3 linked regions of the Xenopus tropicalis genome follow. The protein of the gene in region 2 interacts with the protein of the main gene of each other region in a biochemical or structural test. Links are inferred from orthologs where the notes say so. Each region holds a gene or a part of one and is shown on either strand. Other genes may lie near its edges.

Region 1 (4,084 bases), on a different chromosome or scaffold from region 2:
TTCAGAAAAAGAACATCATACCAACAGTAAAATATGGTGGTGGTAGTGTGATGGTCTGGGGTTGTTTTGCTGCTTCAGGACCTGGAAGGCTTGCTGTGATAGATGGAACCATGAATTCTACTGTCTACCAAAAAATCCTGAAGGAGAATGTCCGGCCATCTGTTCGTCAACTCAAGCTGAAGCGATCTTGGGTGCTGCAGCAGGACAATGACCCAAAACACACCAGCAAATCCACCTCTGAATGGCTGAAGAAAAACAAAATGAAGACTTTGGAGTGGCCTAGTCAAAGTCCTGACCTGAATCCTATTGAGATGTTGTGGCATGACCTTAAAAAGGCGGTTCATGCTAGAAAACCCTCAAATAAAGCTGAATTACAACAATTCTGCAAAGATGAGTGGGCCAAAATTCCTCCAGAGCGCTGGAAAAGACTCGTTGCAAGTTATTGCAAACGCTTGATTGCAGTTATTGCTGCTAAGGGTGGCCCAACCAGTTATTAGGTTCAGGGGGCAATTACTTTTTCACACAGGGCCATGTAGGTTTGGATTTTTTTTCTCCCTAAATAATAAAAACCCTCATTTAAAAACTGCATTTTGTGTTTACTTGTGTTATCTTTGACTAACAGTTAAATGTGTTTGATGATCAGAAACATTTTGTGTGACAAACATGCAAAAGAATAAGAAATCAGGAAGGGGGCAAATAGTTTTTCACACCACTGTATAACCTGTGCAAGGAAGTTGTATTTTATCAAATAAGAAATTGAAACAGAAGCACTATCCTACAGTTATTTCCCAAACATGCATAGTACAAATAAATACAACATTTGTTATCAGCATAGGAAATGATCTGATCAGTTCACTATAAACTGCAAACACTACATACTAATAAATAATCAGTTCATACAGGGCCTCCAAAAAAGTTGAGTTTTTTTTAATAATAATGAAGGTACTGTAGGTAAGCCAACCTACCTAGGGTAGATTCTATTATGAAAGACTGCATAGGTAAGGCATCACCTTTAATTTAGCATTTTTGCAATGCCTAGAGAAAAGATTATAATCATATGAAACCTGTTCATAGAAGAACAACTAAGAAAGGGGTGGCATATTAGCAGCATTCATATATATGTATCAATGCAATTAACAGACAGCAGGAAGAAAACTAAAATAGGTGGCTCTAATGCTATGATTCAGGAAAGGGATGGCAAAATTGTTACACCATTATTTCTGGAGTCCACTATGGCTTTTATTGTTCTGTCTAACCAAACCCCAACTCTTAGAAATGTGGAAGAATTCAAAACCTGCAAAAAGTGTTAGGATATTGACCAAGTTCAAAAGCAAATCTTACATGTGGTATATTCCTAGTGCAAAATGTGAAAATATATATATCATAATGTCCCTCTGTAAATTGTACCAGCCGGTGACAGACTTCTGAAATGGAAGGTAGAGTTGGTCCTGTGTCTGAAGGCAGTGCTGCTTGCACCTAGCACTAAGATATGTATAAAAGGGGTGGAAAATGGCCATCCCCTTATATTACTCTAATTTTACATTATTTATGGCAGTATGTATTTTATATATAGACATCTGAGTTTCCATGTCTAGGAAACCAGCTTTAGAGGGGCCATCCACAGTTTACTATGTAGATTCACCCCCCCCCCCTTTTTTGTCTTTCTTGCTTGATATCGACCAGGCAGGATCACTCAAGAGCTCCATATATGGGCCAATGAACAATTAAGTGTATTAATGATAACGTTATCTATTGTATTGAATGCCTGTGTGGCCTTCAGTAAATAGGGAAAAGGAATAGGTAGTTATTAGAATGAAAAAACTAACATACAGAAATATTAGTAAAGGTTTATAAACTAGAGTTTCCAAATCTCGAACTCAAATATCTAAATAGGGATTCAATATTGGAAAATGATTAATGTTAAAATAGGGGGCTGTGAGATATTATAAGAATAACCAGGGCTGCCATTGCTATGTGGGGAAAGTTACGCAAATTGCCTAACGTACATATAAAGTTATGGCAAAACTAAATCAATTTACGTAACTTAAACCTGCCTAGAAACTTGTGTAACTTGCATAAAAACTTGCGTACAAGCAAAAGACAATGCAGAGAAGGGAAAACTCCAGTAACCACCAATGAATGGTAAATTCTACCTCCCCCAATGAACTGACTTATTAGCACATTAATTATTCATTTTAACCATTTATATGAACTGCTTATTATAGAGTAATATCTCTGTTTTTATTTGGGATCTATTTACTGAATTCTATGAGTATTCTTTACATTAACTTTTCAGCAGTGGAATGACTGGTTATTGGGCCCCACAGCAACATCATTGGCCCCCTACGCTTATGCAAGTTACTTTGAGAAAACTTACATTTAAACTGCACTGACCCCTAATGAAAAGATTCACTTATTAGCACATTATTATTTTTACTGCTTTAAAAAAGTAAAGTAAGTAGTTTTCTCCAGAAAAGGTGGAAACCCTAACCCCTTTGCATCACCCACGTCCCCATACATATCTCTCCTTACATCCTAATTATGCTTATGTGTTTTCCTTTTTGTTTCCTCTTGTTGTTTGGGTACAAAATCCTGTATATAAGAACCAACATTGCTTCTTTGTAATCAGCTTTGGTGAAGGAACTCTTTGCTGAGATTATCATCTTAGGCAGCCAATACCCACAACACATCTACGCCACTTTTGTTATGCTTCATGTCAGAAGTTTCACACTACAACTTTTTCAACTGGCTAACATAGTGCAGAACACTGGATTGGAACCAAGAGCACTAAGCACAGTTTTTACGCAAAGTCAACCGACCTATCAATTCATTCCAATGTCCGAGCTGTAGCGTAACAGCAGGGTGGAGCTTTAAACTATTAGTGACACAGTAATTTACATCTATTTCCTCCGCCATGGTAACCATTTGCCCAATAAAAGCAGCTTCCGCTTCCAACGTAGACGCATTCGTGTTCCGCCTGTCAGTGACTGAAACCATCAACCAATTAAAAAGCTTTAGACGCTATTAGCCACACCCTTCTTCTTCCTGTTCCAATCAGACTGAGCGAGGAGGCGCGGCTAAAGTTTTGATTGGCAGATGAATTAGCCAACGCGCGCTTTGCTCCACGTCAGCAGGATAGAGAAAGATGGATGCTATACTGTTGGTGAGTGAGGCCGCGGAAATAGCTTTGATTTTAGTGTGAGGGGGCCGGTAAAACTTTATTTTTCTATGGTGGTTGCAATCGTTTGTTTAGCTGGCCAGGCTGCTGTGTAGGGACAGGGGACGAGTGGTTAGGGTCTGTCAGTGGCAGGCTTTGGGCTGTGACTCCCAGCATACGTTCAAACGCTAGGGTAGCTATTCATTTTGGGACCTGTAGGAGATATCGTGCAGCAAAGTAGTTACTTTTTGTCATTCAGGGATGTTGCACCTGAGCCTTACGCCATGGTGAGCCTGTGCCAGGGACCCCCTATTGAATGGCAGGACTGGGCAAGGGCTGCTGGCACAGAAATAATAAAAAATATCTGGTAGTGACATTTTCTGAATATAGTGTGCCAAACTCTATAGTGCTATACCCCTTCTGATATTCCTTGTGTGGGTGTGTGTTTCCTTCCTAATCTGCCTGATTTTTATGTAGAAATAGTAGTAGTAGTAATAGTAAATAGTAGTAGTAATAGTAGTAGTAGTAATAGTAGTAATAGTAAATAGTAGTAGTAGTAATAGTAGTAGTAGTAGATGATTGATTGGGCTTTTAAGGAAAAAGAAAGGTGTCTGGGCTATTCTGAAATCTCTTTGGGTTAGACTGGACAGGCCTGGCGCTTATGCATGTCAGATTGTTGCTATTAGTCTATTTGCAGTTTAACAACAGCAGTTGGGCTATGGCTGATGGTAGAAGAAATATAGAACAGTTTTAACACAATACAATATCTGTATCAGGCATTTAAACTCTTAACAATTTTTTTTTGCAGGATTTTGTTTCCCATGGGGTATTGCATATCCCAGATATAGTTTTATAGAATCTCTCTTTACAGGTTGTGATTAAAGGGTATTGTATTGGGTAAAAACAAGAAAGTTCTAGTGCATTATG
Region 2 (4,111 bases):
AAGCAAAAAGAACATTAAGGCTCATCTCAATTTTGCTAAAAAACATCTCAATGATTGCCAAGACTTTTGGGAAAATACCTTGTGGACCGACGAGACAAAAGTTGAACTTTTTGGAAGGTGCGTGTCCCGTTACATCTGGCGTAAAAGTAACACAGCATTTCAGAAAAAGAACATCATACCAACAGTAAAATATGGTGGTGGTAGTGTGATGGTCTGGGGTTGTTTTGCTGCTTCAGGACCTGGAAGGCTTGCTGTGATAGATGGAACCATGAATTCTACTGTCTACCAAAAAATCATGAAGGAGAATGTCCGGCCATCTGTTCGTCAACTCAAGCTGAAGCGATCTTGGGTGCTGCAGCAGGACAATGACCCAAAACACACCAGCAAATCCACCTCTGAATGGCTGAAGAAAAACAAAATGAAGACTTTGGAGTGGCCTAGTCAAAGTCCTGACCTGAATCCTATTGAGATGTTGTGGCATGACCTTAAAAAGGCGGTTCATGCTAGAAAACCCTCAAATAAAGCTGAATTACAACAATTCTGCAAAGATGAGTGGGCCAAAATTCCTCCAGAGCGCTGTAAAAGACTTGTTGCAAGTTATCGCAAACGCTTGATTGCAGTTATTGCTGCTAAGGGTGGCCCAACCAGTTATTAGGTTCAGGGGGCAATTACTTTTTCACACAGGGCCATGTAGGTTTTCTCCCTAAATAATAAAAACCCTCATTTAAAAACTGCATTTTGTGTTTACTTGTGTTATCTTTGACTAATAGTTAAATGTGTTTGATGATCAGAAACATTTTGTGTGACAAACATGCAAAAGAATAAGAAATCAGGAAGGGGGCAAATAGTTTTTCACACCACTGTATATGCGCCAAATATAGTATTAAACTTAGTTTCACACCATGTTATCAGTACCTGCATAGCCAGTTAATCAAGAGAGGCCGAGAACTCCCAGTTGTACACATTAGAGATGGGAAGAATAAAAGAGGCACAGAAAACAGCTCTCCAGGCAGAATACATTCAATCCATTTATAAGGCAAAAGCCCAGAAGCCTGCATTTAATGAATACATTTATAAGGCAAGAGAATATAGTCTCTGCACCTGCTGAGAGTCTATGAATTTCTGTTAGCAACCCTTTTCCCCATACAGGGCGCACATTGCATATTTCCACTGTGACTGCAGAAGATGAAAAAGCATACCTTTTCTGCTATCCAACAGGGAGGGGGAAGGAGGGAGAAGGGGGAGCAAGTGGTTCCATTCAGCCGACAGAGAACCAGTGTGGGGCATGTCACTCACACAGTGCCTGGCAGCACATCCAATCACAAGCAGAGGGGGCGGGGCAGAAGATGGACTGCTAAGCAAGGAGGCAGGCTGCATGATCAGTAGCTGAATTGCCCAGGATGCCAGGATGAAAGGAAACACAACACAATGTGTGCCTTCCCATCTGTAAATAAGCCTTGCTTGTCTCCAGTGCCCCTGGACCCATACGCCTTGGAACAGGGCAAATGGGGCTTATGAATCAAACATGCAGTTCAGCCTGTAATTGTCATATAGATGAAAGAATACCATGCCCCACCCCCCTCCAAAAAAATTTGCATTCCCTTTTCCGCTCCAGGCGTTTCAATGAATATTCTCTCTTTTTTGTTCCTAAACTCAGAGCCCACACAACTGACAGCTGCTGTGCAAAAATAATTTTCCCTGTACAGAGCCCATGTCTCATATTTCTACTGTGACTGCAGAAAATGAAAAAAAAAAGCATACCTTTTCTGTTATCCAACAGGGAGGGGAAGGAGGGGGAGAAAACGTTTCCATTCAGCTAACGGAGAACCCAGTGTGCATCATGTCACTCACACAGGTTCTGGCAGCACATCCAATCAGAATTAGAGGAGGGCAGGGTGACAGATGGACAGCTAAGCAAGGAGGCAGGCTACAGGATTAGTAACTCCGTTGCCCAGGATGAAATAAAGAAGCGTTTGCAGGAATTTATGACCAGCAAACAATATTTATTCTAGGGATAGGATTGCCACTTAGCAACAGCTAATGGGTTTAGCAACTGCCTCCTGAAGATACACTGGGAAAATACATTTGTACCACTGGAACCACATTTCTGTGTTCCCCGGCAGAGGAGCTTGTGGCTTTAAAGAGGTGGGAGCCAGCACAGGTCTGATCTGTGCTTATTGGACAATGTGATATCACAGGAAGGGGAGTAGCTGAACGTGGAAGATTTTTTTTACCGGAAGTCTGTCGGATGACAATTCTAAAGATAAGGGAATGTTTTGAAAGAGCAGAAATTCAAATAAATATTATAAAACAAAGATGCAGTTCAGGTTGTAATTGTCATAAAGATGAAGAAAGGACAAAAGTTTTAGATAAGAAATAGATAAGTATAACATTTAACTACCTAAAAGAAGGTTTGGTTTTGTTGGTAAGCATTGTAACCCTATTACTATGGGAAGTATCCTGGGTTCTTTTGAAAACATCTATATTTATTAAAATGCTTCCTAACGTGAGGTTTAGCATTAATATCTTAGCCTTATATCCATCCTTAACTTCATGGATGAAATTTGGACCAAAGTGGAAGGAGGAAGCAACATTAGGGGAGATCTGAAGTCAGATGCTGCAGCTGAGCAAGACTTTCTTAGGCTGGTCACATGGTTTAAGGTTTGGCTAAAGGATACCATCAAATATTACATGTTACTGGAAATGAAATATTTCATAGTCTGCAGTGACTACTACTGTGTTTCATCCTAGTTACAGGATGTTTACAAACAAACTTTGAGGGTCTAGGCTCTAGGGCCTGCTTGTCATGGAAGGCAAATGGATAAAACTGAAATCCCTTACACTTAGGGGCCCATTCATTAAACCACAATTTTTATTTTTGAGAAAAAATTGTATTTTTTCTAATTTATTGAACTTTTCGTAATGTCCACGATAATTTCATTAAAATGTCACAACTTTTTCGTGGTTTTCGTTAACTTCCACAAGAAAGTCGTATTTTTCGTAAAGACTGCAATCATTTCGGAATTTATTCAAGCTTTGGTATCGTGACTATCTTTTGGCCAAGTTGGGAAGGCTTTCAAAATCATGCATTGAAGGTTTCAAAGCCAGAAAGGTTTTTGGGCCATTTCTGAACGTTCAGATCCGAAAATTTTGTGACTTTCAAAACGAACCATAATATTTTCGTACGACCGATAAAATAATTTTCGAACATCAGAAATTATCGTGGTTACTCTAAATTTTTGGCATATTGTGATTTTAACCACAAAAAAATTGTGTTAATCGGAAACGTAATACAGTTATAGGAGATATTTGAGCTGCCTGATAATATTTTAATGAACTGAGAAAATTTAAACCATCACTTTTCTTATGTTTACATAAAATGGCACCCAAAACACAAGGGTAGCCATGATTCCATATGAACCTGTTTAAAAGTTTTTGTGAAGTAATGAGCCCAGTCTTAGGTACTGGAATAAGTAGGGAGTGAAAAAAATATAGTTTTGGTAAAATAAACATCTTCGTCCTAACCAGGATATTTTGTATTTAGTCCATTGGGATAATAAGTTCTTACTTTTTTTCCCACATTGGAGGATAGTTCAATTTGTAAAGAGAGTATACCTGGAGCGTGAGGTTTATTCATATATTTTCAAATGGGTAGTTTTCCAGGAATCCAAATGGGTCTTTTTATTAACAGTGGAACCGTGAGATACTCCTAGTTTAACAACTCTAAGGGTGAAGACACATGGAGCTACTTAGTAGCAGCTACTTGTCACAGCTATTAATGTGCACTAAATAACATGGCTGCGTGCGCTAGGAGCTCTCTCCAGGTGCAGGTGGCTCACCTGCGATGAGGCTGTATTTAAAAAAAACAAAAAACACAGGATAGGATAAGAAAGAGTACATAAAAAAACTGTTGAAGGATAACTAGATGGAAAAGGAAGAACAAAACAAAAATTTTAAGCAACTGTATAACCATGGCAGCATAGCCAGGTACCCCATAGGCCAACTACTCTAAAGGAGATAAGGGGGGGGCTTACTGCACTGACAGTAAATCCAAGAAAAGGATTTACCAGTAAGAAAATCTCATTTTCTCTAGGCTGCTCTTCCTGTCCTG
Region 3 (3,653 bases), about 16 Mb from region 2:
AATAAAACAGTACCTGTACTTGATCCCAACTAAGATATAATTACCCATTATTGGGGGCAGAACAGCCCTATTGGGTTTATTTCATGGTTAAATGATTCCCTTTTCTCTGTAATAATAAAACAGTACCTGTACTTGATCCCAACTAAGATATAATTAATCCTTATTGGAGGCAAAACAATCCTATTGGGTTAATTTAAGGTATGAAGATGCAAATTACTGGAAAACCCCTTATCTGGCAAACCCCAGGTCCCAAGCATTCTGGATAACAAGTCCTATACCTGTACAATATTCTTGATACTTGTAAGTGTATGTTTATTCCTATTTTAATATATACTGGATGTGTGCTATGGGAATGCCTGCCCTTTTCATTCCTCAAAATGCAAGGCCACAGTTTGCAGTGTTAGACGTTTAGTTCTCTATGCACATACTACATATATTAGAGACTACTAGTCTGTGCCGGCAAAGTCTGTTTCTCTGAAGTAAAACTCTCTGATCAGTCACAGCTTATAAGCCCTCGTGCCAACTGGCAGCCTAAGAAGAAGTATGTTCAGACTTATTTTAAGATGCAAGCAGATAGTTACCCTGCCCTGTATCTGTGCCGCAACTGCATCCTTATAAACAAAGTCATATGACTGTCCCTGTCTGTGTATGAGCCCCGTGTCTGGGTTTTACTCACCAGCTGATATATAAACAGGTTCCATGGCTGTTCCTGCCTGTGCGCCCTACGGCAGTGCTGTCCAACTGGCGGCCCGCGGGCCGCATGCAGCCCGCGACCCCCCTCTGTGTGGCCCCCCACCTGTCTGGCTGCTTTGATGGCTTACTCTTGTGTAAACTTTAAATGGTATCAGTACTGAGATTAACTGCCCCCCCCTGCATGGTTCTCACCTCAGATTCAGGCTGTAATCAGGCTGTATTGTTTAAATATGTAATTCCCTGTGTTTTTCACACCTTTTAATCTCTGCATTGTTCACCCCCTGCAGTGTTCACACCTCAGGCTCAGGCTGTAATCACCCCCATTGTTCCCCTGTTCACACCTCAGGAGCAGTAGAAACCCACAAATAATCCCTGCACACTACAAAAAGAACATATACTGAGGTGGTACTGCAATTAAAAAGTTTTTTAATATATAGTTATTGTGCAGACTGTAGGAGCAGTGCCAGCATTGTGTCACTGTAGGCTGCCTGTGTGTGAGCATAGGGCAAGCAGAGTATGGCTCACACAGGCAGGGTAGGGAAGGCAGAGTATGGCACACACAGGCAGAGTATGGCACACACAGGCCAAGTTTGGCACAAACCGGCCAAGAATGGCACACACAGTGAAAGTATGGCACACGCAGGCAGGGTAGGGAAGGCAGAGTATGGCACACACAGGCAGGGTAGGGAAAGCAGAGTATGGCACACACAGGCAGGGTAGGGCAGGCAGAGTATGGCACACACAGGCCAAGTATGGCACAAACCAGCCAAGAATGGCACACACAGTGAAAGTATGGCACGCAGGCAGGGTAGGGCAGGCAGAGTATGGCACACACAGGCAGGGTAGGGAAGGCAGAGTATGGCACACACAAAGGCAGGGTAGGGCAGGCAGAGTATGGCACACAGGCAGGGTAGGGCAGGCAGAGTATGGCAGGTTTTTGCTGTACTACAACCATTAATATGGGTATGGTCATGTGATAACATGGGTGTGGTTTCAAGTGGGTGCAGTTTCAAAAAGGGGAGTGGTCAAAACTGGCTTCCATTATCGGCCCTCCACCACGTAGGTCGGAAAAATTCCGGCCCTCGGTACAACAGAAGTTGGACAGCACTGCCCTACGGTATTGTGTGGGCCCAGACCTGATCCGACACACCTGCCGCCTCCTGTCATGGGGCCAGAGTGACAGCCAATAGCAGCTGTGTTGCACAAACGAACAACAGAATCTGGAGCTATGCTCCTTTACAGCACCCAATCAGTTTATAAGATTTAGGGACTACAAGCACAACCACTAACAGAACCCACTGCAAATAAATTATGATTGTACCCAAACACTGAGCTTACCTCCTTGCTCAAATCTGAACTTCCAGGCTGAGCAGTTGCCCCCAGTTCTTCTAGCCCCTGCCCGTCACGATTTGGTTCTGATCCAGAGCTGTTAAGATCCTGTGGGCTGTCCGAGGGACGGCTGGAACCAGTCTGTGCACTTGACACAGATCCCTCGGTTTCCCTGTGTACAAGCCAGGCATCTACTTCTGTGCTTGGCACGGTCAAGCGGTCAAGTGCTCTCACGCAGCCCAGCAGTCGCCTGGAAGTGAAGAACTGGTCCAGATCAACGCTCTTGGGATGTACCCCATAGCCGTCGGAAGTGCCTCTTAGGCTGTGGAACTGGGTCTGGGTGTAGGCCGAGGTAGGTCCTAGAATAATCTCATGCAAAGGGGGCAGATGAGAGGGCAGGTAGGAATCCAGGTCCAAACGTACACCCATCAGGCTCAGCAAAATGGTGAACTGTATCAGACCCTCAGTGAGATACTTCTTCAGAGACAGCATGTCTGGGAGCCCCGAAGAAGCAGGGACCCCCAAAACACACACAATCTTTACCTAGAACAAAATGAAGCAGAATAGAGACAGTTAGGTAACATATAGACCTCTCCCCACCCTCTGCCCTATCACATAACTGAACTCTCAGCACTCACAAATCACTTCCACGCTGGGTAAGTAAACAAGTCCATAGGATGCAATACCTTTCTCATATATCCCTCTTCTGCACTGCCCCCGCCACCTTTAAAGGGGGGTTTCACCTTTTAGCATGTTATACAATGGCCTATTATCAGCAAATTTTCAACTGGTCTTTATTTTTTTATATCATTTTTGAATTATTTGCCTTTCTCTTCTGACTCTTTCCAGCTTTTTTTTTTTTTTTATTACTTATCTTTCTATTTAGGCCCTCTCCTATTCATATACCAGTCTCTACAAGACCAAATAGCTGCTGAAATTCCTAACTGAAGAGCTGCAGAAAGAAAAGCTTAATAATTCAAAAACTGAAAATAAAAAATGAAAGTAAACTGCAAAAATTGCTCAAAATAGTACTCTCTACATCGTACTAAAAGTGAATTTAAAGGTAAACAACCCCTTAATATTAGTGGTCAAGGACACTGTATTTAGTTTATAAAAGCAACTAAAACCATGTGTATTTGTGTAACAAATTCTCTAGCTTATACCCATATGTAGTGCCAATGCCATTCATTCATTGCTCCCCTTAAGGGCCGCAACAAAAAAATGGGCAGTGAAAATATTAAACTGAAATGCCTGGCCTGTAATATAAAAAAAAAGTGCTGGGAGTAGTAGTTTAGCATTCTCTCGTTTCAAAGGGCTATTATATAGGAGAGAAAAAAATTGTTGGGAATTTCTCTATGGTTTAAAGCATTCCAGGATATAAATCGCCTTACGCACACATCTATCTAACTGACTGTCCTTGTACCTTATCTGACAAATAGATTAGTACCATCACACAGCCCCCCATACCCTTCCTTTGCATGCACGCGACTGGGCTGTGTCAGGGGTCTTAAACAACATTGTTAGTCTTTTTATGTGCTTTATAAATACACAGAGCAACAGCGAATATCCGGTACGTTCCATTTGGCCTGTGCCACTAAACGGCGCTCAGAGGGTAATCCTCTCATTGTCAC

Evidence for each region.
Region 1: the proteins of mafg (region 2) and nfe2 form a complex in vitro, tested with the Homo sapiens proteins (2 studies listed by BioGRID and IntAct, with this or other methods). The link is inferred for Xenopus tropicalis from reciprocal best matches to the Homo sapiens genes MAFG and NFE2.
Region 3: the proteins of mafg (region 2) and nfe2l1 form a complex in vitro, tested with the Homo sapiens proteins (2 studies listed by BioGRID and IntAct, with this or other methods). The link is inferred for Xenopus tropicalis from reciprocal best matches to the Homo sapiens genes MAFG and NFE2L1.

The regions. Positions count from the first base shown.
Region 1 is NC_030678.2:145,585,858-145,589,941, reverse strand, and holds the start of nfe2 (transcription factor NF-E2 45 kDa subunit), read right to left. Parts: upstream 2,950-4,084; 5' UTR 2,820-2,949; intron 1-2,819. Other genes in the region: copz1 (coatomer subunit zeta-1), read left to right, coding at 3,146-3,163. UniProt on the Homo sapiens protein: Component of the NF-E2 complex essential for regulating erythroid and megakaryocytic maturation and differentiation. Binds to the hypersensitive site 2 (HS2) of the beta-globin control region (LCR).
Region 2 is NC_030686.2:27,981,984-27,986,094, forward strand, and holds the start of mafg (transcription factor MafG), read right to left. Parts: upstream 2,889-4,111; 5' UTR 1,813-2,888; coding exon 1,762-1,812; intron 1-1,761. UniProt on the Homo sapiens protein: Since they lack a putative transactivation domain, the small Mafs behave as transcriptional repressors when they dimerize among themselves.
Region 3 is NC_030686.2:11,705,163-11,708,815, reverse strand, and holds part of nfe2l1 (endoplasmic reticulum membrane sensor NFE2L1), read right to left. Parts: intron 2,566-3,653; 5' UTR 2,515-2,565; coding exon 2,032-2,514; intron 1-2,031.